3 linked regions of the Coturnix japonica genome follow. The protein of the gene in region 1 interacts with the protein of each later gene in a pairwise test. Links are inferred from orthologs where the notes say so. Each region holds a gene or a part of one and is shown in the gene's direction. Other genes may lie near its edges.

Region 1 (8,950 bases):
TGCCCCCCGGTGCCTCCACTCGAGGGTTTGGAGACCCTAAAAAAAGCTCCGTCCCCACCGGCTGCGTGGGCTGGACCCGCTTTACCGGGGTCCCGCAATCACGAGAGGTGCCACGAGAGCCCCCACCGCCGGGACAGCCCCCCCTGCCCCCCATTCCCCGGTTTATGGAGCCGGTTTCGGGGCGCGGATGGGCCCCGGGGCGGCGGCGGTGCCGCTCGGTGCGGGTGGGCGGGGGGTGCGTCCCCGCCGGTCGCTCCCATCCACATTCTCGAGGTGCCGCGCCCTGCCCGGCCCGACGGGAGCAGCCGGGGCACGATCCAGCGCCGCGGGGCCTCGGTCGGAGCGAGGACGGGGACGGGGCGGGCATCGGCCCCACCGCCACCCCCCGGTGTTTGTGGGGCTCCCAGGGCAATAAATGGGGTCTCGGTGGGTCCCTGCTGCTCCCATCGCCCTGGAACCCGAGCTCCGAGTGCTGGCCCGTCCCCACCGCTGACCCCAGCCCCAACCCCGGGGGTGCGATGGAACTGAGACCGAACCGGGATCCGTCCCCCCCGCCTTCCCTGGGCCCTGGCAGCACCGTGTCCATCCCGTGCCCGCACGCAGCAGGTGGAGCAGACCTTGAGCTTTGGCCGTTCCCTGCGGGGTGGGGGCACCGGGCTGTCCCCACCTCCCCGTCCAACACGGGCAGCTCCGGGGGCACAGTTTTCCCTTGTGGACGTTCGGGGGCCGCTGGGGTCGTTGGGGGCGGCTACAGCCCGGTTCGTCCCACGGCCTCGTGGCAGCTGCCGGCACCGGGGGCCGTCACTCAGACCCCGCACAGCCCCCCCCGCACCGAGGGCAGAGCGCCCCCAACCCCCGCCGCTGTGTCCCCATAAGTTGTGGCGATGGTGGAGCCGAGGGGTCGGTGTTGGGGGCGACCAAACAAGAGAGGGGACAACGGGGACAACACGGTGACCCCGCTCAAGGAGAAGCACGGGGGGCACCGTGGGGGTCTCGAGGGACGCGGTGGGACCCCAGCCCACATCGGGGCCGTGGGGGGGGGTCTGTCCCGCGTGGTTGTGGGGCGCCGGGGGCCGCGGGCGGTGCCGGGGCTGGGCCGTTCTGCGTCACCCCGCTCGCTCCCCAAACACGCCCGACCTGAAAAGGCGGTTCCAGGCGGGACGTTGCGGCCGGACCGGGCCGCCCCAGCGCCGTGACTCACCGCAGCACGACCCGCCCCTCCCGGCCCCACCGCCACGAACGGGGACAGGAATGAGGGGGGGTCGGAGCGGGGCGGCCATGGGACGCGGCCATTCGGGGCCGCTCAACAATCGCGTGTTGTCTCGGTTCTCCCCCCACCCCCCGGCGGCGTGGGGGCACTGCGGGATACACCGCATTCCTGCTCCGCGGCCCCCGCCCCATTCGGGGCCCCCCGGTGCGGGCTGTGGGGACCCACCCAGTGCTGGACGTGGGCGCTCAATGGGGGTCGTGGCTGCTGCCGACGTGGGGGCAGCGGTGCCGCGGTGGGAGCTGGGGGTCCGCATCCCCGTGTATCCCCGTGTATCCCCGTGTATCCCCTTGTATCGCCGTGTATCCCCCTGTATCCCCGTGTATCTCTATGTATCTCCATGTATCTCCATGTATCTCCATGTATCTCCATGTATCTCCATGTATCTCTATGTATCTCCATGTATCTCTATGTATCCCCATGTATCCCCATGTATCCTCGTGTATCCCCTTGTATCCCGCTGTATCCCCGTGTGTCCCGCTTCCCCCGTCCCCACATCACACCCGGGGCCGCTCAGGAAGCCCATCGGAAACCCATCGGAAGTTTTTGGGAGCCGATAACCGTCAGCAGCCGCAGCGTTTCCTGCGGCCGGATCCCGCGGGGGCGATGGCCCGGCCGGCCTCGGCTGACCCCTCCCACCCCCCAACCCCCCCCCAATACATCCCGATCCATCCCCGCAGTGTGCACCGGTACCGACATGAAGCTGCTGCAGCCCTCCAGCCCCGAGAGCCACTACGAGACCCTGCGGCACCTGTACCAGGGCTGCCAAGTGGTGCAGGGTAACCTGGAGCTCACCTACCTGCCCCCCGGCGCCGACACCACCTTCCTCCAGGTGCGAGGATTCGGGGATACGTGGATGGGAAGGGATGGGGGGGGACATGGGGGCACCGTGGGGGTCTCACCGCCGTGCCCACCCCCCCCTGCAGGACATCAAGGAGGTGCAGGGCTACGTGCTGATCGCTGAGAACCAAGTGAGCGCCGTGGGGCTGCAGGGGCTGCGGATCATCCGTGGGACGCAGCTGTTCCAGGAGCGCTACGCATTGACCGTGCTGGGCAATGTGGGGCTGCGGCAGCTCGGCATGAGGCAGCTCACAGGTAGGGGGCAGATATGGGGAGAGGGTCCTTGTGGGGGCTGCAGGTATCGAATCACTGCGTGGTTTGGGTTGGAATGGCCCCAAACCCCATCCATCCCCACCCCATGTCACAGGGACCCCCCCCCACACAGCCCGGTGCCCCCCACCCTGGACCTGAGCACTGCTGGGGAGGGGGTACCCACAGCTCTGTGCCCTCATAGCAATGAATCTCTTTTAGCTTATAACCCTGTCCTATCCCTACACCCCCATTAATCCCCTCCCCAGATTCTCTGCAGCCCTTTTAGTCTCTGTGTGGGGACTCCAAGCTGCTGTGTGGGGCCGGGTGACCCTACGGAGCTGTGCCCCCATACTGATGGCAGCTCTTTCATCCCCCCCCCATACAGAGATCCTGAAGGGGGGGGTACACATTGAGGGGAACCCCCAGCTCTGCTTCCAGGAGACCATCCTATGGGCCGACATCTTCCACCGGCACAACGAGCTGCGCACTGAGATCCATGTGGAGAGCAGCCGCAGCCGAACCTGTGAGCAGCCCAAAGGCTGGGGAGGGGATAAATGTGGGTGGGTTGGGGGCTGCCACCCCCCCCCCCCAGCTCCCTATTGATGCCATCCATCCCCCTGCAGGTCCTGACTGCCGGGCGCTGTGTGCTGAAGGGCACTGCTGGGGCGAGAGCCAGCAGGACTGCCAGACCTGTGAGTATGGGGCTGCCTGGACCCCCGCCCCATAGGAAACCCTATAGAAGTTCCACATTGCTGTTCCATTCACCCCACGTAGCACCCAGATCCCCACCTTGGGGACCCCCACTTGTGCCCCCCCATCACCACGCTCCTTATCCACAAACCCCTTCTCCAGAGCTTCCCACAATCCCTTCCCCATATACCTTTGGGATGCTGCCTACCCCACAGCCCCTTACCACTCCTTTTAGGGGAGGGGTCCCCATCCCATTGTGCCCCCCCTTTTCTCCTCACAGTGACCAACAGCATCTGCCACGGGTGCCCACGCTGTAAGGGCACGAAGCCGACAGACTGCTGCCATGAGCAATGTGCTGCGGGCTGCACCGGCCCCAAACACTCCGACTGCCTGGTGGGCATGGGATGGGATGGGATGGGATGGGATGGGATGGGATGGGATGGGATGGGATGGGATGGGATGGGGCCCAGCAGGAAAGGATGGGACACAGTGGGGTAGGATGAGATGGTAACCCATAGGGTAAAATGGGCACAGCGGGATGGGATGGGATGGGATGGGATGGGATGGGATGGGATGGGGTCTCCCCCAAACACAGGGGGGCTGATGGCTGGTTCCCCCCCCCCCCTATTCCCAGGCATGTCTGAACTTCAACCGGAGCGGGATTTGTGAGCTGCACTGCCCCCCCCTCGTCATCTACAACTCTGACACCTTCGAGTCGGTGCCCAACCGCGATGGACGTTACACCTTCGGTGCCAGCTGTGTCAGCCAGTGCCCCTGTGAGTGCTGGGGGGTGGGCAGGGGTCTGAGCAGCTCCTTCCCCAGCTCTGACCATCCTGTCCCCTTCCTTCCCCCTTAGATAACTACCTGGCCACAGAGGTGGGCTCCTGCACCCTCGTCTGCCCCCAGAACAGTCAGGAGGTGACAGTCAACAACGTGCAGAAGTGTGAGAAGTGCAGCAAGCCCTGCCCAGAGGGTGAGGCCCAGGAGGGGTCCTGGTTCTGCGGCTGGGGGGGTCCTAGGGGGGCTGCTATTCACTGGGAAGCTCTGCAGCACTGGGGCGGTGCTGGAGAACCACTGGGGATCCAATGGAGCAAAGGAGCTGCTGTGCCCTGGGGGGGGCTGCAGAATGGGGCCGGGCAGGCAGCGCTTTGGGGGGGATCCTGGTGACTCTGCCATCCCCTCTGTGCCCCCGCAGTGTGCTACGGGCTGGGGGTGGATTTCCTCAAGGGAGTCCGTGCTGTCAATGCCTCCAACATCCGGCACTTTGCTGGCTGCACCAAGATCTTTGGCAGCCTGGCCTTCCTGCCCGAGACCTTCGCTGGGTAAGCACTGCACACCCCATCCCAGATGGAACCATTGGGACCCCCCCCACAAACACCCCCTGTCCTACCTCCTACAGTGACCCAAGCACCAACACAGCCCCCCTGGACCCCCAGATGCTGTCAGTCTTTGAGAGCCTGGAGGAGCTGACGGGTGAGTGCACAGGGATGGGGACACAGCCCTGAGCTGAGGGCACAAAGCGAGCAGTGCTCACACTTGTGTCCCCCACCTTCCCTCCCCCAGGTTATCTGTACATTGCTGCCTGGCCACCCGACATGGACGACCTGGGCGTCTTCCAGAACCTGCGTGTCATCCGTGGCCGTGTGCTGCACAAGTGAGAGGGGATGGGGACCTAAAGGGGATGTGATGGGGGATCTAAAGGGGATGGGGACCTAAAGGGGATGGGACCTAAAGGGGATGTGATGGGGGATCTAAAGGGGATGTGATGGGGGACCTAAAGGGGATGGGACCTAAAGGGGATGTGATGGGGGACCCGGGGGTGATGTGGGTGCTCACCTTTCTGTGTCCTGGCAGTGGTGCCTACTCACTGACGCTGCAGGACCTGGCGGTGCGGGCGCTGGGGCTGCGTGCCCTGCAGGAGATCAGCAGTGGGATGGTGCTCATCCATCACAACCCCCAGCTCTGCTTCCTCCAGAAGGTGCCATGGAACAGCATCTTCCGCCACCCCCGCCAGCACCTCTTCCAGACCCACAATAAAGCCCCCGAGCTGTGTGGTGAGGATCCCCCTAACACCACCCCCAGTCCTGCTCGTGGTCCCTGGAGCCGGGCTGGGGGTAACACTGTGCCTGATCTCCCCAGAGAGCGAGGGCCTGGTGTGCTTCCACCTCTGTGCCCACGGGCACTGCTGGGGGCCCGGCCCCACACAATGTGTCTCCTGTGAGCGCTTCCTGCGGGGCCAGGAGTGCGTGGCCTCCTGCAACCTGCTGGATGGGTGAGCAATGGGGTCGGGCTGAGCCCAGCAGGGAGGAGAGGGACACTGCTCTGTATCAGCCCCAACCCCATCCCATTCTCACCATCCCATAGCGCCATCCGGGAGCACGCCAACGGCACACGCTGCCTGCCCTGCCACCCTGAGTGCCAGCCACAGAATGGCACCGAGACCTGCTTTGGATCGGTGAGCACAGGGACATGGGGACACCAGCATGAGGATGGCACTGCTGCCAGGTCCCTCACCCCCCACCCTTCCTTGCCCCCCACCCTGCAGGATGCGGATCAGTGCGTGGCATGCGCGCACTATAAGGATGGGCAGCAGTGTGTGCGGCGCTGCCCCAGCGGGGTGAAGGTGGATGCCTCCTTTGTGCCCATCTGGAAGTACCCAGACGAGGAGGGGGTCTGCCAGCTCTGCCCCACCAACTGCACCCACTCGTGAGTACACAGTGCCCAGGTGTGTGTGTGTGTGTTGTGGGGGGGCAGTGGGATGCTCACCCACCCCGTGTTCTATCAGGTGCACCATCAGGGATGAGGACGGCTGCCCCGTGGACCAGAAGCCAAGGTACCACCGTGGGTACCCCCCTCCCATAGGGGAGCATCAGGGGGTGACCCCATCCCCACATCCCCTGTCACCTCCCGTCCTGCAGCCAGGTGACATCCATCATTGCTGGTGTGGTGGGGGCTCTGCTGGTCGTCGTCCTTCTGCTCATCACCGTCGTCTGCGTCAAGCGCCGGCGGCAGCAGGAGAGGAAACACACCATGAGGCGGCTGCTGCAGGAGACTGAGGTGGGGGGGCTGGATGACCCTGGGGGGGGCTCAGAGTGTTGTCCCTCCTCACCCACTTGTCCCTCGCAGCTGGTGGAGCCGCTGACGCCCAGCGGGGCCCTCCCCAACCAAGCACAGATGCGCATCCTCAAGGAGACGGAGCTGAAGAAAGTGAAGGTTTTGGGCTCCGGCGCTTTCGGCACTGTCTATAAGGTGAGGGGTGGGAGGCACAGTCAGTGGGATGGCACCATCTGTGTCCTCACTCACCGCCCCCCCACCCCCCATAGGGCATCTGGATCCCCGATGGGGAGAGCGTGAAGATCCCGGTGGCCATCAAGGTGTTGCGGGAGAACACATCACCCAAAGCCAACAAGGAGATCCTGGATGTGAGTGCAGGGGAGGTGGGCACGGGGCTGGGGAGTCGGTGCCAACCTGACCTATCTGTGCTGCCTGCAGGAAGCCTATGTGATGGCCGGGGTGGGCAGCCCCTACGTGTCGAGGCTGCTGGGCATCTGCCTGACCTCCACGGTGCAGCTGGTGACGCAGCTGATGCCCTACGGCTGCTTGTTGGACTATGTGAGGGAGAACAAAGACCGCATCGGATCCCAGGACCTGCTCAACTGGTGTGTGCAGATCGCCAAGGTAAGAGAGGGGGCTGCTGAGGGGCTGTGGGGGGGATGTAGATGTGGGGCTTAACGCCTGCTGCCCAGGGGATGAGCTACCTGGAGGAGGTGAGGCTGGTGCACCGTGACCTGGCTGCTCGCAACGTCCTGGTCAAGAGCCCCAACCATGTCAAAATCACCGACTTCGGGCTGGCACGGCTGCTGGATATCGATGAGACCGAGTACCACGCAGATGGGGGCAAGGTGGGACATGGGGACGGGGCAACAGGGAGCGCGGTGTCCCCTGAGGGTCCCGCTCACTCCTCCCACCCACCCAGGTCCCCATCAAGTGGATGGCGTTGGAGTCCATCCTGCGCCGGCGCTTCACCCACCAGAGCGATGTCTGGAGCTACGGTGCGTCCCTATGGTGGCTGTGGGGGGCAGGGGGTCCCAAACCAGCACTTACCCCACATCCCCATGTCCTCAGGTGTCACCGTGTGGGAGCTGATGACCTTCGGGGCGAAACCTTACGATGGGATCCCGGCACGAGAGATCCCCGACCTGCTGGAGAAAGGCGAGCGGCTGCCGCAGCCGCCCATCTGTACCATCGATGTCTATATGATCATGGTGAAATGTGAGTGGGGGGGACATGGGGACGTGGGGGCCAGGACCCCAACGCCGCCCTCACGGTGCTCGGCTCTGCCCCAGGCTGGATGATCGACTCCGAGTGCCGGCCCAAGTTCCGTGAGCTGGTCACCGAGTTCTCCCGCATGGCCCGCGACCCCCAGCGCTTTGTGGTCATCCAGGTAATGGGGTCTCAGGGGGGTCTCGCCTTCAGCATTGCCCCAACGGGCACTGACAGCCCCCCCTGACCCCCAGAACGACATGATCGGGCTGCCCAGCAACATGGACAGCACCTTCTACCGGGCGCTGCTGGAGGAGGAGGACATGGACGACCTGGTGGATGCTGAGGAATACCTGGTCCCTCACCAGGGCTTCTTCAGTGCTGAGACCTCCACCGCGTACCGCAGCCGTATCTCCTCCACGCGGGTAAGGGCTGACCTGGGGCATCGTGCTGCTGCAGGGCGCACAGGGTGCAAGTTCTCTAATGCCACCCACAGACCCTATAGACCCCACAGCACCGTGCCCGACTCCGTGCCCTTTGCCTCCTCAGAGCACAGCAGAGACCCCAGCTGACACGACAGAGGGGGAGGAATCAGCCGCCTTCCCCTTCCCACCGCAGAACCTGGTGGAGGGGTCAGAGTGCCCCGTGTCGGAGGCTCTGGAGGTGGATGTTGGGGCCAAGGGAGCCCTGCCGAGCCCCCCAGCCACACGGTACAGTGAGGACCCCACCGCGCTGCCGGGGGATGAGAGTGAAGGTCTGGACCCTGAGGGCTTCACCACCCCAGCCCCACATACCACTATGCCAGGTAGGGCAATATAGGACCCTGGGGAGGGGGGCAAGGACCCTGTTTGGCTGCTGACATCCCTTTTCCCTGCAGAGTACGTGAATCAGGCTGGGGAGCTGCCGTCACCCCCCCGGCTCCCCTGTGCACCACCATCCCCACCAGACAAGCCCAAGGGCCACCAAGGCAAGAACGGGCTCATCAAGGACACCAAGCATCCCTTCCTGGGGCCCTTTGGCCACGCCGTGGAGAACCCCGAGTACCTGGCCCCCCCGGGGCTGCCGGTCCCCACAGCCTTCAGCCAGGCCTTCGACAACCCCTACTACTGGAACCAGGACCCCCCCAAAGCTGGGAGCCCTGAGGGTGGGCCCAGCTCCACGCCAGCAGCTGAGAACCCGGAGTACCTGGGTTTGGCTGAGCCTGAGGACGTGGCTGTGTAGGGCAGGGCCACATACGGACCCCCCCCTTTCACCGAGGCAGCTTGGGGAGGGACGGCACGAGGCCGGCGATGGATGTGGGGGCAGGACTGTCCCCAATCATGGGGGTGCCCTATACTGCAGGAGAGCATAGAGCACTGTGAGACGGCGCAGCAGCACAGGGGGGGGCACAGAGGACCCCCAAAAGGAGCCCCAAAGCCCCACTGAGATGGATGCTCCAACCCCACACGGTTCCTGGAGGAAGAAGAGCAGCATCAACAGGACCGGGAGCCCCATCACCCTGCTCCCCATCACCATACACCTATATACACCTGTATACACCCTGGATACACCTGGACCACGCTGCTGCTGTCCCAGAGCCCCCCACCACCCCTGTGCCCCCAGCCCCCTCCCCACCGGCGCCCAGCAGCGCTGGACACA
Region 2 (9,740 bases), on another chromosome or scaffold:
CCCAGGTTTTGCAGGACTTGCAAATTTGCAATACAATTGTCCAAATGTTCTACAGCTTCCTAAGTTTCTTGCATGGTATAGAACCAATGGGGAGTTCTATCCCTGCAGAGCTCAGTGTATCAGAAACAAAGCATTGTTGTTTGGTTTTATTAGTAGCATTATTTCTATTTATTTCTTACCTTTGACTCAGGAAAGGGTTGATTGAACTGTTGCATTCAATGTGAATTGAATCTGCCTGTGGCTGTCTTACTAGCAGCGTGAAAGCTCTTGCAGGCTGACTCAGCTGCTTCGAGATGGTAGGATATGAATAGGAAGTACAGAACTAATATCCTCAGAGATTGAAATGTGGGATGAATACATGTGTTCGTTGTACTTTCTGTCCGGTTGGGCTGAGAAGAAAGAGAAACACAGGTCTGCATCAAGTGAAAAATGCCTGCGAAGGACAGCAAGTAAGACAGGGCAAGTATCTCAATTGTGACTTTTGTTATTGCTGCAAAAGATTCGTTTTCCTCTTTAAAAACAAAACAAAACAAAAGGATAAATAATAGACCAGAACACTGTCAACTTTCATCTCAATTGCAATATGCAATGATACTGAATAAAATCAAGGTATTATTACACTTCCCCTGCACACCCCACTGCTCCTGCAATGGGGTACAGTCTCCCCTTTCTCTCCCTCAGCAAACTTTCCTGATTAGTTTCTGTCTTCACACCCAGACTGACTTCTGCACTCTGGTTTCAAACAGTGACCTCATCGCATTGTTCAGCTGGTGAGAAACTACTGTAAAATGGAAGGGGTAAATAAAGGGGGGGAGCTAATAGCCTGAAGATTTAGGAGGCAGGAGTCTGCTCCTCGCCGTCCTACTCCCATTGTGCACCTGAGCTTGAGAAAGTACAAGTTCATCCTCGAAGAGTGCTTCTCTGTGCTGGTTCCTATTGGGTCAGGACAAGCAGTGTGCAAGCTGTGTGTCCATGTGTGCTTAGATCCATGCTCCTACCACTGCCACAGATCCCAGAGTTAAGATAGAAATCCGTGCATCCAATGCAGCAGGAGCTCCGTGTCGCCTGGCCAACCAGCTTATCAAAACATAGGTGCTAAAAACAGAGCCTATACTGCCACAACACCACAGCTCACTGCGGCCAGCAGTGACACAATCGCCAGCTGAGCTGCAGCTCATGCTCACAGTGCTTAAAGCGATAACATTAACAGCACCCTGCCTACGAGAATGTCAGTGGCACTGCATACTGCAGCCTCTGACACCCTGTTTCTGGATGCGTCTTGAAGTCTCTCCCTGATCCAGATAGATACCTCCAGGCCCCAGCCAGCAGCAGCTTGGCCTACATTTGTCTTCCCAGACACTCGGCAAACACTTTTGTGTCTATTCTTTAGAGGAAGGGGTCTCACTGAGCTCACCCTGAAATATATCACCATGGACAAAAGGGCTGAAAGGTTAAGGAGCTCCAGGGGGCTGTGCAGCAGAGCTGGGGGGCAGGCGCCCACCACAACCAACACTATAAAAGCAAAGAGGGGAAGGGCTCTCAGAGGCTACAGATCTTGCCTCACCTGCCATAAACCCCCAAATAAAGAGAAGATGCTGGGGCTCCCAGCGTGGCCCTGCTCGCTTTTCCTCCTCTTAGTTCTGCTCTCTGCCAGCGTACAAGCGATGTCCTCATCGGGACAAAGGCTCCAGGTAGGAGGGAATGGGATGGAGCTGCGGGAGGCTTTGGGAGTGGCAGGGGCAGTTTGGGGAGGTCGTGTTTGAACATGGTGTGAGGTGACCCAACATCCCAGCTCCCAAGGGCTGCTCCCTCCCCTTCAGTCCAACAGCCTCAGCTCTAGGCTGTGTCTATACAAGCCAGCTCCTTGAGGAGTGCTAGCATTTCAAGGTAGGGGCCAGGCAACAGACTTCTGAGTGCTCCTGGCTGTGGGTCTCTTCAATGCGTGCAGAGGCACCCTGCCTTCATATCAGCTCCTCTGTCCAAGAAGAAAGCTGCAAGGCAGGAGCTAGGATGTGAACTAGAAACGCAGGACTGATTCCGCTATGACTCATCATGGAGACACTTTCACTCTTCACTGAAGATGCCCATGTCTGCTTCCATTAACTGACTGCTGGAGAAGATGGAGCTAAATTGCACAAAGGCATCCATGTGATGCACAGGCATGGAGTAGCCACCACAGGCCGCCGCCATGGGCAGCAGCATTGTGCCCCCAGGGCACCTCCTGACCCATCTCCCTGCCGCTGGAGGATGCTGGCGGCTATGGAGGCATGTAATTAAATTAGAGCATGCCTGCCTGCACACAAACTATGGAGACTTCCCAGCAGATGAAGGGCCCGCCTTCCTTAGGCCCATTCTGATAGTTGACTGCTTTATGCTAACAGTTCCTCTGTGAAAAAAAGAAACACGACAAAACACCGTGAGCACACAGCAGCACTCAGCTGCACCAAAAGGACTAAGGGCCGATGACTGTTATTTTCCAGGTATGGAGAGAACTATTCAATAGCAGAAGGGCAAGGAATAGAGACAGCAATGCCCACAGCACTCCTTCCTGTTCTTTGGGCAGCAAAATCACCTCAGGCAGAGTAGCTGCGGGCCATCGGTGTCCTTGGTGTGGATGCAAGGTCACAGGCAGAGGGCTTTCACAGGCACCATTTCACGTCCTGCCCGAGCCTGAGGGACGAAGAGTGGGACAGTGGGTCGGGATATAAGAGCACAGACATTACACCCTCGCCCATCTCCATTTATCCCTCTCTCAGGTGCTCCTTTCCCGCCTGCTGCCCTCGGATTCCGAATCCCTGCCGGCTGATGAGGACATGAAGGAGGGCTCCAGCTCCAGCTCCGAGCCGCAGCCGCTCCTCCTGCCTCGGGCCCGAGCCGCACAGCCCCTGCTGTGGCGCAAGGCCCTCGCCGATCGCAAGCGAGCTCTGTCTGGAGACTGGGCCTGGAAGGCCGCGCCCCGGGGCTGTTTTGGGCTGAAAATGGACCGCATCGGGGCCTTCAGCGGGTTGGGCTGTTAGCCCGGAGAAGCTGGAGGTGAAGGGGGCAGCAGCGAGGGGCCGGCACAGCGGGCAGCGGCTCGCTCGTTGGCAGGCAGAGAGCGGCCGTGTGGAGAGCCGGCCCGGGACGAGACCCAGCTCGGGACGGGACAGGCTGGGGCAGCAGCGGCCGCAGCCCCGCGGGCAGGGCGAGGAGCGGCGGCGCGCGGGGGACTCGCGAATTAAACCGAGCTGTGCGGAGCCTCGTGTCGGAGCTGGCGGCACCGAAGGGCGGCCGGGCCGCGATACCCTCCCCGTGCCTCTCCCCGCCCGCGTCCGCCGGGAGATGGCGGCAGAGCCCGCGGCTCCGCACGGCAACGCGGCCCCCACGCGCGGGGCCATTTTGGGCGCCGCCGCCATTCCGGGTGGGCCGGGCCGCACGCGCGTCCGCGGCCTGGGCCCGAGCCCGGCGCTGGGGGGAGGATGGGCGGCGGGTCCATCGATCTGCGCCCCGGGGCCGCAGCGTTGTTCCGTCCCGCCACACTCTGCCCCTCGGCCGCTGCCGTGTTTGCCGAGCAAACAAGGGGCCTCCGCTCTCCCTGCCGGCCCTGACCCCGCGACGTGCGGGGGGCTCCCCCGGCCCCGCGATCGCAGCCCCCTTCGGGCCGCACCGCCGCCTCCCCTGGCCTTTAAGAAAAGGTCGTAACCTCAAGCCGGGGCTAAACTTAGCCGCTGCCCCTCGGTGCTCCGGGAATGGCAGCCGTACAAGGAGCGTTGGGTTACGGGAGCTGCGTGACCCCCCGCTCGGACCCTCTCCCCCCGGCATCCTCCGTCCCCACCGCTGGAGCCGGGGCCCACCTCACCCCTGCACGCCCCCTCCTCCCGCCGGGCATCCGGCTTCGAGCACCCGCTCCATCGCAGGGGATGGAGGCTATAAACCCAGCACGGCTCCATCCCACGGCCCCTCTTTGGGCCGCACGAGCCCCAGCCGTAACACGTAAGAACCGCTTCTTGCCCACACCCCGGGCCCGGCTGCCAGGCGCAGACGTGCCGGGCTGGGAGAGGGACGGCGGCGGCTCGAGGCGGCGGGAGGATATGAGGATATCCGCTGTCACGGCGCAAGAGATGCTGCAGTTCCTTATTAGCGCGGCCTGAGAGCGCCGGTGTGACAGCGGGTGCGGGACCCCGGCAGCCCGGGGCTGCGTGACCAACACGTGCGAGGGCTGATTATGGCAGCGGGCAGGCTGCGGGCTCGCAGCACGGCGCTCTCTCGGCCGTGCGTGCTGCCATTAATGCAGCCCGCACCCGCCGCACCGCATCGTGCTGCAGCCGCACCCCGCAGCCTCACCCGAGGACACCGACGCGGGGCTTTGTCTGCACCCCCCATCCGAAGGGCACCCCCACTCCGTACAAGCCCCGCAGTGCGGCCCCAACCCCCCGAGCCCACCCTCGACCCAACGGCCGCCCTTTGTTGCGAGGGGGGAGGGGGAGAGAAGCGGGGGGGGGGCTGCCGCTTCACCCGCACCGTGCGTGCACGTAGCCCCGGCCCGGCCCTCGCGCTGCCATTCGGTGCCGGCCCGGCGGGGCGGGGCGCGGGGTGCTGCCGCCGTGTCTATAAAGGGCGGCGGAGCGGCACTGCGCCACCTTCTCACTGCGCGCCGGGGCCGTTGACTAGGAGCAGGTAACGGGCGGGGGGCACGGGGGCGGAGGAACGGCTCCCCCCACCCCTACCCACCCACCCACCCAGCCGGCCGCCCTCCCGTCTGCTTGAGCCCCTCGTAGGGTCGGGGCCGTCGGACCGCGAGGAGTGCGGCGGGGGGAGGGGGCTGTGCAGGACCGCGTGGTGCCCGGGGCACAAAGGCGGGGGCGGGCGGCGTAAGATGGAGGCGGTGGGGGTGGGGGGAGAGGTGCGGGGGGCACAGCTCGGTGGGGATGGAGGGAGGGAGGGATGGCGGGTGGGGGGGCGGCTCCCGGTGCGTGCGGTGGGGGGGTGTTATGGGGCGGGCGGGCTGCGTGCGGTACCGCACGTCTGAGCGTTGGCGTGTCCCCGCAGGTACACTATAAGGGAGAGATGGTGAAAGTCGGAGTCAACGGGTGAGTGAGTGCGGAGCCGGGACGGGAGGCGCCGGGCGGGGCGGGCGGGGATGTACGTGCCCGTGGGGGGGGGGAGGACGACACGAGACAAGGTCGCCTGAAGGGCGGGGGGCCCCGCGGCGCCGCGGAGAGACCCCCCCATCCTCCAACCCCCAACCGGGAGTAACGGCCCCGTGGGGCGGTGCTGAGTCACTTCCCCGCACGGTCGGGGTGAGTCACCCCGGAAGCGCCGGTGCTGCCCGCGTGCCCCGTCGGGGGCTCTGCCCGCACTAATGGGGCTCCCCGGGGCAGTGGGTACCCGAGGAAAGGTCGCCCGGTGGATCGTGTGTCGGCCGTGCCCCGGGAACGTGACCTTCTCCCACCGCACCGAGGAGTAACCGGATCCCCGGGGCCCTCAGTAAATTTAGCGCCTGACCTTTGTGGTGTGGGTGCCCTGCCCGGGGGTCGCTCTTAATCTTTAACCACGGCTCCTCGGCCTTTGGCCGCTGCTGTTGGATTCCATTCAGGCAGCGACTGACAGATGCTCTGGGGGGAAGTAGCAGATAGGCTCAGCCGTGCCTTACCAAGCATGTTCCTCAGTGCTCCTCCTCACCCACCTCTCTGTTTCTCCCCAGATTTGGCCGTATTGGCCGCCTGGTCACCAGGGCTGCTGTCCTTTCTGGCAAAGTCCAAGTGGTTGCTATCAATGATCCCTTCATCGATCTGAACTACATGGTGAGTTGTCTTGCAGTGCCCCCTCTGGGCGATGCGTGCACCTTCAGCGGGGCTCCCCTTGGAAACCTGGCATAGGTTAAGAGAGAAATGAGATGTAGTGATGCAAAGCTGGGCAGAGCAAAATACAGAGCAGCAGTTAGACAAGATGGCTGGTATTGTAGTGGGAGCTTTGCATCTAGGATGCCTGACCCTTCTCTTTTCTCTCCCTGCTAGGTTTACATGTTCAAATATGATTCTACACACGGACACTTCAAGGGCACTGTCAAGGCTGAGAACGGGAAACTTGTGATCAATGGGAACGCCATCACTATCTTCCAGGAGTGAGTAGCTTTCTTCTCTCGCTGCTCCAGAGAATGAAAGTAAGTGCCCTCCAGAGTAACTCCCATGGTTTTGTCCCCTCTCAGGCGTGACCCCAGCAACATCAAGTGGGGAGATGCTGGTGCTGAGTATGTTGTGGAGTCCACTGGTGTCTTCACCACCATGGAGAAGGCTGGGGTATGTAGGCTGCTGTGGCCCATGGGAAAAGGTGCTCTGAGGATTGTATTCCTTCTCAACTGTTGGGCCGTTCTGGGTAATTTAATCTTTCCTTTTTTGTTTTTCAGGCTCATCTGAAGGGTGGTGCTAAGCGTGTTATTATCTCAGCCCCCTCAGCTGATGCTCCCATGTTCGTGATGGGTGTCAACCATGAGAAATATGATAAGTCCCTGAAAATTGTTAGGTAAGGGAGAAGAATGCTCCCTGGCCTGGAATTTTCTTCGGGTCTTGTTGCACGTATATACATGTGTTGTACTTGGCTGATGTGCCTTCTTTCTCCCCCAGCAATGCTTCATGCACCACCAACTGTCTGGCACCATTGGCCAAGGTCATCCATGACAACTTTGGCATTGTGGAGGGTCTTATGGTAGGTCTGGAGCTTGATGCTCAGTAAGATACCCTGCCCCCAGGTCCTCCATGTGTGGGGGAAAAAAGCATTCACACACAGTGCTTCCATTGGGCTTGGGAGGAAGTGCTGGGGGTGCTTTCTCTGGGGAAAGTGACTGCTTTCTTACTTCTGGGCCTTCTTTCCACAGACCACTGTGCACGCCATCACAGCCACACAGAAGACTGTGGACGGCCCCTCTGGGAAGTTGTGGAGGGATGGCAGAGGTGCTGCCCAGAACATCATCCCAGCATCCACTGGGGCTGCTAAGGCTGTGGGGAAGGTCATCCCTGAGCTCAATGGGTGAGCGTCCTCTTTCTGTGTCTGATGGGGGGCAGGAGCCAGTGTGTGGCTGGCTCAAACACTTTTGTGGTAGAACATGCTTACACTGTTCTTTGCTGACATATCTCTTGCAGGAAGCTTACTGGAATGGCTTTCCGTGTGCCAACCCCCAATGTCTCTGTTGTTGACCTGACCTGCCGTCTGGAGAAACCAGTAAGTGCTGTGGACAAGACTGAAGAATCTTCAGGCCTGCCTCTAAAATTACTTCCTTCAACATCAATCTATTTAATAGAAAAATCTTGGTTTTGCTGAAAATAGCACCTAATGTGCATGGCTAGTGCTATGCAGTTCCCAGTGTCTGGGCTGTAGCTGACACTTAGAGATGAGATTTGACCTGACCATCTTTACTTCTGCCTTTTTTTAGGCCAAATATGATGACATCAAGAGGGTAGTGAAGGCTGCTGCTGAGGGGCCCTTGAAGGGCATCCTAGGATACACAGAGGACCAGGTAAATAGTTGCTACGTAGGTGTCACTTGCCTCATTGTTCTGATGGTGGCAGCCTTGCTGGGGTGATGTTTTTGACGCTTCTGGTTCAGGCTGTTACCATCTTATTGGGTGGAAGAGTGCTTGACGGTTCTTCCTCTGTTCCAGGTTGTCTCCTGTGACTTCAATGGTGACAGCCATTCTTCCACCTTTGATGCGGGTGCTGGCATTGCACTGAATGACAACTTCGTCAAGCTTGTTTCCTGGTATGCTCAGCCTCGGGGTGTGGGGGAGACTGGGAGGGTAGAGACGAGCAGTTCTGGTGCAGTTCTGTGCTGTTTCATTTTGTCAGCACCATCTGGCAGTGCATGGCAGCACAGGGTTCAGGTGGCTTCAGCATGTGACGGTCTCTAGTGAGATGGCTTCGTATCTGAAATGGCTGCAGCTGCCTTCCTGTAATGGAGGGCAGATGGGATGCTGCCTGTTTGCTTCATAAGGATTGGATGGGAAGCCTTGCCACTTGGTTATATGGGCTGAGGCTGGAAGAGCAGTAACATGAAGAGGGATACGAGGAGCTGGATCAGTGCTGACTGCACTTGTGTTTCCCTTCTCAGGTATGACAACGAGTTTGGATACAGCAACCGTGTTGTGGACTTGATGGTCCACATGGCATCCAAGGAGTGAGCCAGGCACAGGCACACAGCCCCCCTGCTGCCTAGGGAAGCAGGACCCTTTGTTGGAGCCCCCGCTCTTCACCACCACTCAGTTCTGCATCCTGCTGTGAGAGGCCAGTTCTGTTCCCTTCTGTCTCCCCCACTCCTCCTCCAAATTCTTCCTCAGCCTGGGGGAGGTGGGAGAGGCTGATAGAAACTGATCTGTATGTGTACCACCTTACATCAATAAAAGTGTTCACCATCTGAAGCGCTTTGTTTGCGTGTCATTGGGAAGCAAAAAAGAATTGAATGTATGCTTTAAGGTAGCCCAGCCAGCCTGTAACTGCTGGGCCAGCAGCTCCAGCCAGTGCAGGGCTGCTGTGCATGGAGCTATGCTGTGCCTGCCAGCAAGGGAAGGACTCTTGCCCTTAAGCGAAAAGGTGTGGAGGGCTTTGAGTGGAAGATGTGCTGTGTGGTGGAATGGTGAGCAGATGTTCTTCATCCACCTTCCAGCTCTCTGGATTTTCCTGTTTGATGGGTGTGTGCAGAATAAAGTGCTGAGGATGACTTGCGTTTTCACTTGTTAAAAGGGCATGAAAGCCAGGAGTTTTTCAATTCCTTCTTCCTTACTAGAGATGCAACAAAGTGAACTGAAAATAAATCTGCCTGGAAGAAATGGCTGCCCCAGGCCCTGTGTTGGAAGCTAGAATTAAGCACAGTGGCAGCTCCTGAGCAGCAAATCTCTGCAAGTATCAGCCCTCTGCCAGGAGCTGCATTACCTCCCCCTAAAAGCACGGAGCTACCCTGGCTGCTGAGTGGTAGGGTAGATAAGCAGTTCACTCCCACCAAAGCCATGGGGCCCTTCCTTTTATTTTCTCATCAGCACTGAGGCTGAGAGCTGCATCAGAGATGCTGCACTGCTCTGCAGGAGGCAGGTTGCAGCTGCTGACTGGAGATGGCTGCTTTTACAGTCTGACCTGGGGCAAGGACTGAGGCTGCAGGCTCTCCCATGGCCAGGCACAAGTGAGAAGCACGGAGCTGCTTATCTGTGACGGTAGAGCTGTGTGAAAGCCAGACGTTCACTGCGCTAGAGGGAGATGACTCAGAGTCGCTTTCCTTAGAGGAAATAGGTTGCATAACCTGTCCCTGGACTTACAGTACGAACAGCTCATAAGCTCCGGGATGGCCTCAATACCTGCCTTGTCCTCTAAATGTCCTGATAGGAGCTTTAGGTAACTCGGAGTGAAACTGCAGCTGTTCCTCAGCTTTCAGCTGTTCTGGGGCTGGCCGGGGCCAGTCGTGCTGAGCAGGTGGGATGCTGCAGTGCAGCAGGCAGCCCACAGCCCCGCCAGGCTAACAAAGCGCCCTGTGTCGGTCCCATCCTGGCTGTAATTGCTGCGCTTGGTGCTTTCAATGGCTGTCCTGTGTGCCGCTGCCTGCATAGCTGTGTGCCTGCCAGCGAGATCCTTGCGCGATGATAGGGAAGTGCTGAGAGGCAGCAGAAACACCAGATGCCTGCAAGCAGGAACGTTTTAAAGAATCACCTTTTTCATCTAAGAAGCCTTATGTTTCCTGAGCTGTCTACAGCTGCCTGAAAATATGCAGTGAACTCATCAACA
Region 3 (9,716 bases), on another chromosome or scaffold:
ATTCAGCAGATTGAGCAAATTCTTATTACTTTTTTTTTTTTTTTAAATTTGTTTTCATTAATAAAATCAATAATTCACTGTGGATTTCAGTCACACAGACGATTACCATAGATTTTTTTTGCTTGATCACATGCATGTTTAAACTGTTTTTATCTAGTACGTCTCTGTACAATTCATTGATGGTCAAGCGGAGCGTCATGTAATCTCAAGGAGCAATTGTGGGTGCAGCTTGAAAACAAAATGATTGCAAAGATAAGGGTCTTCCAGCATGTAACTGCTGGATCATTTAACAGTGTTTATTTCCAGGCCTCAATTCGCCTAACCATTTCTTAGCACAAACTCACACTGGAAAAACACATTAACTGAACTTGGCAGAAGCTTCTCATTTAAGGAATAACAAAAAAATCAGGAACAAGCTTTGAGCTCTTTCACCATGTGTATCCCCTTCGAAAGAAACAAAAGAAACCTGGAGAATGTCAACAGTGCTGTGAAAGAAAACGCTCGTCCTCTGTGACCTGAATTTGTCGGGTTTTCATTAGGCTCAGTGTGGGCAGAGTAAGGAAGGAGCTCTCAGTTCAAGCAGAACTGGAACTCGACAGATCCTTGGCTGCTCTTCCTGGAGCGTGACAGTGCAGGAATTACAATGCCAATGTTTCAGGAATTCTAACTGGGAATGAACTGCCTATTCACAGTCATGCACAACGAAACAGAAGCTACTGTCAGTAATACCATATGACTACTTTCCTCCTACAGCTCTTAGAATTGACAAAGAAAACTATCCTCTTGATTTTAAACCTATATGAAGTGGCTCAGAATGTGGTATCCTTTCTTTTATCTGCTATGTTGACTGCCTGGACTTTAAGTTGTCAAAAGTAAGTCACTCTATGTTTCTAGTTAGAAAAAAATCCCAGGAGTAAAACTGCAAACAAATCACCAGAGATGCTGCAAGACTATTCCAACCATGCTTGGAAAATTGGGATCACACTTCCTATATTCAGAAACAAGAAACCATTGATTTTGTGTGTGCAAGCAAGAATGGTGTTTTTAGGACATAAGAGTCCACGCTTCCTAATTTCAGGATAATCACACTTAGGAAGATGTATTTTAACTAAAACATGGCTAGTGCCAAATCTGTTAAGCAAAACCACTTTATACTGATCCTGTCCAATTCTTTGAATTCATCAGTGCTTTATATCAAGTTGAAACAAGCAGAACAGCAAGATTAAATTGATTTCTCCTTAAAACAGATGGAAGGTCTTAAAATACAGTTTGGTTAGAGGGCAGTAAGGCACGGGAGCTGTTACAGGGAGCAAAACAGAAACTGGGTCCTGCTACTGACCTGCTGAGCAATTTAGGTCCTTTCATCACCTCCCCAGCTTTAGTAATTCCTGTAAGTTGTTAGTAATGCCATACTCTTAATAGAGCAGGTTAAGAACAAGTGTTGGATCAGTGCAGCTGTTAATCCTGTAACTTAAAGACTTCATTTTGATTTGGGTCTTATGCTCGATTGTGAGGTCTAGCACAAAATGCTGTAGTTAAAGTGCCCATAAAAGCTTTCTCTTGCTTAGCCAATACCTAAATCCAGAACCAACTGTGTTTCCTTTTATTATCTTATTTTTCAAATGTAAATTTTCCAAGCTTCTACATTTCAATCTGTTTTTTCATCTTTCTACTTCTACCCTAAACTGGCCTGATGAGAGCTGATTTCATGCCTGCTCTCATGTTCCTTTGCTCCTGACTCAAATGGCAATTCAGCCTGTAAGCATTATCAGATAGTGTAGTGTATTACACGTGATGCCCATGCTCCAAAAACTCAGCATGCTGTCAGGACACTATCAAGAAAGCCACAGAACTGAGAGCTTTCATCCCTTCTTTGGAGACTAAGCTAGTCTCCAAAGCTAGTCTGAGTTTAACTGTATCTGCAAAGGATGAATAGACTTTTGTATAAAAGGGAAGGAAGGGGTAGGATTATATACATTCCCATCCATTTGGGGAGGAAAGTAGGGAGTGAAATGTAAAGGAAGAAACTCGGGGACCCACAAGAGGGTTCCCTCACTTCAACAAAGACAACTTGCCGCCCTTCTGAACTAAGAGTTTAGTAACTCTCAGTGCTCTGTAGCCAAGGTGGTTTGAAAACACACCTTGCAAAAGGCAAAAGCCCAGGAAGGAGGTTAAGGGTCTCTGGCGAACGCTCTAACATGGCAATTGTTCTTTTCCTTCCACAGATGACAGTTCTGCCTGTCTGGGTTCAACATGTTCTCGTTGGTTGGGTTTGGGTGGAGCGGTGTTGAGTAAGCTGGTAGTTATGGATACCATTGAGGTATCTATCTTTCCCCATATATTGCAGGTGATTGTGGGAGAATGGCACAGGGTTATGTGCTGTGGCAAACAGGAACCTAGAGATTGTATGTTGCCACATTTAATTATTAGTCACCTAGATTCCTTTTGCCTCTGCTTCTTTGTAGTTAGGAAGCAATAGTAACTGCAATAAAAATTCTTCAGTTCTTCAATCAAGCCAAAATACGGTATTAATGGTAAGGAATGAAAATACCTACATGCCTTTTGCACCTATATGCCCCTCAAAAATAATCCAAGACCACCACATAGGGTTCTGAGCGAAGAGTGGCAACAACTAAGTTCTTATATTCCTTACCATTGCTTCTTGGGCTCAGCAGTCATATTCTGGCCTGCTTCACATCTAATACCATCCTACTGAATAAGGTGTGAGTCCCACCATAAACTTATTGCTTAAAAGAAGTCTCCTCACATACCATATGTTGTTAAATTAATCTGATTAAAGCTCATCCCAGTGGGATTGTTCTACCTGAAACCAGAGGCTGTAGCTGTTTCCCAGAAGTGTTTTATCTCATCTCCCTCAGAAGCCATTTAGCTTTGATTGTTTTTTCCTCACCTGCTGTTGCAAGCTGCTTCACATATGGCTCAGTTTTGACAGTAAGGCCCTCTCCTGCTTCCTAGGATCATGCAACAAGAAGGGAATATAGCTGTGAGTTCTACCAGTCTCTGCACCCCTCCCTTCTCTCAAATTTAAAGCAAAGGCAATTACCTCAATTGAATGTGGCACTACCAGTGACTGCCTAGTACTATCTGATACGGGACCTGGAGGAAAACTCAGGGCCGTGTTTTTGTTACTGTCCCTTGGCATTCCCCAGGGTCTCCACAACCCTTATCTTTGACACGTGCTGGCTGTTACCTTGTTTTGAAGCTTCCTTTCTTGAAATGAGGATGTTGAAGACAGCAGCTCGGATCTGCACGTTTCCTTACCCTCGCAGCTCACCCACATGCCATTGCCGGCACACCGGAAGACCTGTGTCCTATGGTCCGTTGCCTGTGACAACGTAAATACGATCTGTTCTCACACCCCAGCGGGCGGGAGGCCACAGCTCCTGCAGGCAAAGCACCTGGGGGCTGTGCAGGAGCAGGGCAGTGGATGAAGGGTGGGTATAGGCACAGACAGCGTGTCATCCATCTCTGCGTGTCTGCGAATCGGTTGGTTGGTTGCACAATCCTGATCTCAGAGCACGGCCAGCTGGAGCAGCCTGCTCACTGTATAGTTTTTAAACTTAGGTGGATTTTCAGACTTTTATTTCATGCTGAAAACGTGCTTTAATACAAAAAACCATTCTGCCTTTTGCTTGAAGAGGAGGCAGGGGCAGGTGCCGGTGCCGGTCGCCATGTTGCGGTGAGGGTCTCCCGCTTCTGGCCGGGCACGGGGCGTGGGCCGCACCTGTTGCATCGCTCCAAGGGCGCTCCCACCCGGGCCGGGGTCCTCGGTCCTCGCCCTGGGGTCTGGAAGCGCGGCCGGCTGGGCGTCGGGCCGCTGGGCGAGGCCGCCCCGTGCTCGCAGAGCGAGGGGGGGAGCGGTGGGGAATGGCCGGTGGCGGGTGAGTCACCCGCGGCCCCACCTGCTACTTAACTGCCGCCGGGCGGCCGGCGCCGCACTCGCGGGTTGTGCCGTCGCCGTGGCAGGGAGCGGCTCTCATTCCTCCTCCCCTTCACAGGGCGCTCGGCTGAGGCGGGGCAGCTGCTGCATGAGCGTTGCTCACTGGAGCCGGGGAAGCACTGACAGCGCTGAAAATGCCGAAACCGGTAAGTGAGGCGCGGGGGCTGCCCGCGTGTCCGGTGGGGTCGTGCCTCCCGTTGGATGAAGCCGCGCCGGGGCTCCGCCAAGGGCGCCCAGGGAAGCTCCGTGAGGCGCGGACGGAGCCGCGAGGTCCCGCGGAAGCTCCGGAGCCGCCCGAAAGGCAGCTTCGAACGGGAGGAGCGGGCGGAACGGCTCGGCGGCTCGATTCAAACGCGGAACCGCCCTAGGGAGCCATGCTGAAACTTGGGCCGCTCGCCCAGCGGCGGTTGGAGGGGAGGGCCGCGCCCCGGGGCTGCTCAATGCCGTGCCCGGCAGGGAGCCGGCCAAGGCCGGGAGGCTGCGGGCCTCGGAGCGCCCCGACCGGGATCAGGGGTGCTCGTCGGGCGCCGAAAGGAAGGGCTTAGTGTGCTGCCAGGTCCGTGAGGTGGCGAAACAGCACCGGCTCTCACTTGGTATTTGTGAATGCTGAATGACAGGTCCTCGTTTCTTGCCTTCGTGATTAAAAACTTAAGGTTCAGGGGATCATTGTACCGCTCCCCACGGTGCTACCGCTGGGTCTGTTGCCAGGTAGCCTCTAACAGTCTTCGTTAAAGCGTTTCTGTTCTTTGCTTTCCTTTTTTTTCAGTTGAACCAACTTGAATACCTTCAAACTTTCTTGTTGTGGGAGCCCCCTCCTGCGTCGGTTTGCTCATGGTTTTGTTTTTTTTTCAGACTGTTTTGCTTTGAATTCTGCTGCCACCCTGGCAGTTAGAAACGGTAATTCCCTTGAGGAGCTGGCTGGTGCAGAGCTGCCTGTGCTCATGGAAGCAGACAGCTTTGGAACTCTGAAGAGCATAACCAGAGCAGATTGTGGCTGTCTGTTTCCAACAGAGGCAGCACTTAAAGCACAGCACAGTAAAGAACTTCCAAGATTATTAGCTACACCCTTTGGAAGGAGACTAGACGAGCTTATCCTTGGGGTAATGAGCAATGGATGTTCTGCTACTGTAACGCTGAATTTAACTTAGTTAAGAAGAGCTTAGATTAATTTACACTGCAGATTCTGTAAACTTAGGGGGAACAAATGAGGAAAAAAACTCTTCCTTTGAATTCTTTGAAGAGTGCTAAATCTTCATTCTCCCTGGATGTATTTAATCAACAGGAGGCGATATTGGAAGCCATGAGTAGGTGTGGGAAAAATCTCTTTATCTCTCTGCGGAAGGACAGCCATGCTTTAATGGTTTCTGAGACGTGACCTACTGTCCGGGATATATGGAGAAGACTCTGTTCAGTTTGTGTGGAATAAGCTCTTCTTTTTGCAACCTGCATTCGGTCCCCACCTTTCAATGGGGCTGACTGCCACCTTAGTGAATGCAGATGAGGAGAATTCTGTGGAGGATGTCTGAACAGAATGCTTTGGTCTGACTGCTGCAGATCGAGACGGTGTGTTTGGATCCTTCAAATCCAGCTCATTTGTTCTTAGTGCAGCTAAATAGGATTCCTATCACTTTGCAGGGTGAGGTAGGGACGGGTGTGAAGTTGTCGCTCCAGAGCAGAACTGTGCTCAGAAGGAGAATGATAAGAGCCTTTGATGTGTGTGGGGACTGATACCGTGAACTCGTAGGAAATGAAGAGGCAGTTTTTGTTTGATAGGTCAAATACAAAGGTACAAAATAGATTCTACCTACACTTGTTCATGTGTGTCTTGTCAGCTTGGCATAAGTAAATACAATGTTGTTTGGCAGACCTCGTGCTGATAGGGATGTGGTTTTACAAGCCGGTCATCGGTTGTCATCTTAAACATTTTATGTCTAAGCAGATAATTACCACCACGGTTTCAGCATTTGCTTTCTACCTGTCCCCAAAGCAATGAAGGTAAACTTCCATACAGAGCTTTTGTTGTTAGAAAAAATACGTGCACAGAGAGCTTACAGACTGGAATTCAGTCTTTCACACTAAATAAGTCCAGTGAGAGTAAAACATGAGTGATTTTGTATTTTAGTAATGTACCATAGTGAAGTACTAGAAAGCCAAGTGCACGCCAGGTTCTGTACCGGTGCTTTATCGCTGTTTGTTGGATCAGACACACGTCTAGAGTGCTCAAAATAAATCTTGGCAACGTTTCAGGAAATAATTCTGAGATCTTTGATAATAAAGACAACTGTTAATTCCTAATTTATAATTAAACACAGACTTTCTGCCACGTATAACAGTTATAGAGTAACGAGATCACTGGGGTGTGCTGTAAATATGTAACTTCTGGTTCTCAGCTCTTAAGGGTTTTAGGTGGAAATTCACCAGCAGTTCAGAAGCTGAACTTCCATCTAGTCTGAATGATAGTTCATAAGGTTTCACAAATGGTAAATTATTGCATAAAGAAACAGAAGAGATGTTATCTTGTCCAAATCTTGCTTTGTTTTCTGAGAACAAGCAAAGTGTGCAATAAACTGACTTGATCAGCGTTGCATCTTTTCTTTACTGAAGTGTCTGTGTGTGCACTGTGTTTTCCCTTGATCTGTATGTTACTAGCTTATTTCTGTTTGACTCATTGCATGGATGGTGTTCCAGCTGAATTACATCCTTTGGCAAAGCAAGCCAGTCACATAGAGCCACAGGGCTGCGGGCTACTGAGCATTACTTACAGAAGGAGAAGGAAATGTGATCTCTGCTCCAGAGACCTGTTAATTTGATCTGACCTATCAGCATTCTGTGGTCCTTTTTTGAAAGTAGATTATTCTTTCTCCTCTTAGGAAATCTTGAGAGGGGAAAGGAAGCATCACAAGAAATGATGTCAGCTTTGCAGTAGAGCATTTCAAGTAATGCCACACGAGAACCTTTAATACATCTGTGTTTTTGTAACAGTCTTAAAGATAGGTCAGCAATACATGCAGTCTATCAACTTCTGGTGCTAAAAGAGAATACAGGGAGAATATCCAGGCACCATTTTCTAATGTGTTTAATAATAGCTTATGTTCAGAGAGCTGAGCATACCAACAATACCTGCCAGTGTTGGGGGGCATAGTGTTGATGCAGAGAGCCATCATATGTAGGAGTAGAAAGCACATATGTTATAAAACAAACTAAAAACACCAAAACCTATCCTAATAATAATTAGTTAATTAATAATAATTAAACTTGGAGGTGTGGTGGAAAGAGGTCCCTCAATGTGTAGAACAGATTGATATGAATTAGTTGTTGATAGGATGGACTGTCTTGTCCATTGATCTGCAATGTGTGGGGTTTCCCTGATGGAAAGCACTAATAGAAGGTGTTAGGAAAATTCTTGAAGATAGGTTGTCGTTTCTGTTTTTGTCCAGAAAACACAAATTCTAAGCAGAACCTGGAGAAGGATTTGGGGTTGATTGTAGGAGGAAGGCCTCCTCGCAAAAGGGGAGATAGTTTAGTTTAAAATATGAAGGATTTAACTATCAAAGAAAGGGAGGATTTGCTTTAGGCAAGGCTTATAGTTAAGGGGACTTGTGAATATCAGAGCAGTTCAGTTTCTGGTTGCTTTCTCCCCTTGGAGTGTTCTAAGACCTAATGCCCTTAATTAAGATAAAGTCTGATGAGGACACATTGTAGTGCTGCTGCCTGTAGGAGTGTGCAGCTGGAACTGATGACTCAAAAGGCTTTTCCCAGTCCTGTGTTATTAATGTTCTAGTGTGTGCCTGGCACCAAGTGGTTAGACAAGTCCTCCATACCTGTTTGTTATTGAATATACATGCATTCTAAAAATGGACATGAGGACGGCATGTAAGTCTTCAAGGCAAACCTTTATCGGTCTGTGAACGCTTAATGGCATTACAATTCAATGTTTGTCATAAGCCAACCGGAAGAGCTAGAAGTGTAGCAACAGGGATTTACTCTAAAAACTAATAATCATTGATATTTTCTAGATCTTCCCAATTTTGTCTTAACTGTGTCTTCTAACTGCACGTGATAGTTTGGTCTTCAATTTCTTCACAGCAGATTTCTATAACAGGGCTGAAATAAAAAGAAAAACCTTTAGAGATAGTAAGTAATTAACATACTCTTAGCTTATGGGTAGCTATGGATTTATGCAGTAATAAGATAGGTTTTTTTTCTTGTGAGCACAAATTGCAATATGTCAGATGATACGGTATTTAGTGTGGTTGATACCAAGGGTGCACACAGTGGTGCAAAATGGAAGAAACTTAATATCAACCAATTGTGCAGTCTCACCCCAGGCTTCAAAAGGAAGTTGAAGGATTCTACTATTAGTAAGTGTAGGGAATAGTTAACAAATAGTTAAAGGTGGAAGAGAATGAGCTCACAATTGTGCCAAAATCCAAATTACTGTATGAGCTGAATAAGCATTCCTGAGGTCAGTCTGTTCTTGCTAGCTGCCTTAGAGAAATCAAGTGTTAACTGTTCACGTTAGACACTACTTAAAGAATTTCTCGGCCTTCTTGAAGGACAGAGGGTGGAGATAAGCCTTCCTGTTCTCCTTCCGTCCATGTGAACGTCCTCCTCTGTTCTCAGTAAATAAATAAATAAAAAATCAGTGACATGTCAGGACTTTTTGAGAATAATTCTTCTTGATGCCTACTGAAGGTTCCTGCTTCAGCGTCGTTGTTGTTTGGCACGCTGTGTCCGAAGGGCTTTATGTGCACTGTAAATCCCATAATCACTCAATTGACCTTGAAGGAAGGCAGTGCTGCCTAAGATCGTTGAACCACACTACGCACTGTTAAGTAATATATCTTGGCTGTGCCGCGGGGTTGTTTTTGAAACCTGGTTTCAGCATTAGGTAATACTTAGTCTCTGAGCTGAGAAATGCTTCTCCATGGAAGCAACTGAAGTTTCAGGCTTTTACTGAGCAGTGCACAGAATTTTTTCCTTCTAGGAAGAGGAAACAGTCCTTTCCATGTGAGTCTATAAAGAAGGCTTAGGTTGGCGTTACAATTAAGTACATTGCCTCTACTCTGCGTATTTGTTCAGATCCAGGTTTTGTTTCTAGCCACTGCTTCATAGTGTCTTGATGAGTTACCTGTCTTCAGCTTTGAGAGAGCATGGGTAACGTGTGCTGAGCTGGGACTAATGAGCATCTGACACCATCAGCTGCCAATTAAAATAAAAATCCCAAGTCAGAATTAAACCCAGGACTCTGAACTTCTGAGAGAGGGGGAGAAACTGTTTCTTAGCAGCAGTGACTGTTGTGTTTGGCTGTCTGTTGTGTAGGTACCATGGAAGAGGTGCTGGGACTCCTTGTACAGCTTCTGTAACCTTTGCTAGTTCTGAGTTTTCAGTGTGGAATTGCCACATCATCTTATGTGGCAATTGTTTCTCTTCAGCTTCCATGAGCAAGTGCTCTAGTTATTGTGTAAAGCTGAGAGACATCACTACCACGGTCTCTTTCTTGATTTTTCCACATGGAAACATCCAGATTTGCTGTTGCAGTCCAGCCTTGATGTGGGATGTGTGTGAGAGGCTTCTCTGGGGATGCCAGTGTGTGCACACCCAGCTGATAATGTTGAACTAAATGGTGATTCTCAGTTCTGCCAAGAGACCAGCATTCGGCAGGTGCATAGAGCAGATCTGCAGCCTGCCTGCTAAGTAAAGAAATGGGATCTGAAGAATCTCCTTCTTGTACTAGGGTGCCTGAATTTTGCCT

Evidence for each region.
Region 2: the proteins of ERBB2 (region 1) and GAPDH interact in a protein complementation assay, tested with the Homo sapiens proteins (2 studies listed by BioGRID and IntAct, with this or other methods). The link is inferred for Coturnix japonica from reciprocal best matches to the Homo sapiens genes ERBB2 and GAPDH.
Region 3: the proteins of ERBB2 (region 1) and EZR interact in a protein complementation assay, tested with the Homo sapiens proteins (2 studies listed by BioGRID and IntAct, with this or other methods). The link is inferred for Coturnix japonica from reciprocal best matches to the Homo sapiens genes ERBB2 and EZR.

The regions. Positions count from the first base shown.
Region 1 is NC_029542.1:3,922,618-3,931,567, forward strand, and holds part of ERBB2 (receptor tyrosine-protein kinase erbB-2), read left to right. Parts: intron 1-1,947; coding exon 1,948-2,099; intron 2,100-2,193; coding exon 2,194-2,362; intron 2,363-2,744; coding exon 2,745-2,882; intron 2,883-2,982; coding exon 2,983-3,051; intron 3,052-3,329; coding exon 3,330-3,442; intron 3,443-3,683; coding exon 3,684-3,825; intron 3,826-3,905; coding exon 3,906-4,022; intron 4,023-4,244; coding exon 4,245-4,371; intron 4,372-4,448; coding exon 4,449-4,522; intron 4,523-4,612; coding exon 4,613-4,703; intron 4,704-4,903; coding exon 4,904-5,103; intron 5,104-5,188; coding exon 5,189-5,321; intron 5,322-5,413; coding exon 5,414-5,504; intron 5,505-5,594; coding exon 5,595-5,755; intron 5,756-5,834; coding exon 5,835-5,882; intron 5,883-5,967; coding exon 5,968-6,106; intron 6,107-6,175; coding exon 6,176-6,298; intron 6,299-6,372; coding exon 6,373-6,471; intron 6,472-6,541; coding exon 6,542-6,727; intron 6,728-6,795; coding exon 6,796-6,951; and 13 more. UniProt on the Homo sapiens protein: Protein tyrosine kinase that is part of several cell surface receptor complexes, but that apparently needs a coreceptor for ligand binding. Essential component of a neuregulin-receptor complex, although neuregulins do not interact with it alone.
Region 2 is NC_029516.1:69,300,780-69,310,519, forward strand, and holds GAPDH (glyceraldehyde-3-phosphate dehydrogenase), read left to right. Parts: upstream 1-4,532; 5' UTR 4,533-4,656; intron 4,657-5,028; 5' UTR 5,029-5,046; coding exon 5,047-5,069; intron 5,070-5,683; coding exon 5,684-5,783; intron 5,784-5,996; coding exon 5,997-6,103; intron 6,104-6,187; coding exon 6,188-6,278; intron 6,279-6,385; coding exon 6,386-6,501; intron 6,502-6,602; coding exon 6,603-6,684; intron 6,685-6,853; coding exon 6,854-7,005; intron 7,006-7,118; coding exon 7,119-7,197; intron 7,198-7,408; coding exon 7,409-7,492; intron 7,493-7,636; coding exon 7,637-7,734; intron 7,735-8,082; coding exon 8,083-8,152; 3' UTR 8,153-8,389; downstream 8,390-9,740. Other genes in the region: C-type natriuretic peptide 2-like, read left to right, coding at 2,463-2,480, 2,757-3,017. UniProt on the Homo sapiens protein: Has both glyceraldehyde-3-phosphate dehydrogenase and nitrosylase activities, thereby playing a role in glycolysis and nuclear functions, respectively.
Region 3 is NC_029518.1:47,135,674-47,145,389, reverse strand, and holds the start of EZR (ezrin), read left to right. Parts: upstream 1-3,974; 5' UTR 3,975-4,095; coding exon 4,096-4,107; intron 4,108-4,113; exon of another isoform or gene 4,114-5,061; intron 5,062-5,243; exon of another isoform or gene 5,244-6,542; intron 6,543-9,716. UniProt on the Homo sapiens protein: Probably involved in connections of major cytoskeletal structures to the plasma membrane. In epithelial cells, required for the formation of microvilli and membrane ruffles on the apical pole. Along with PLEKHG6, required for normal macropinocytosis.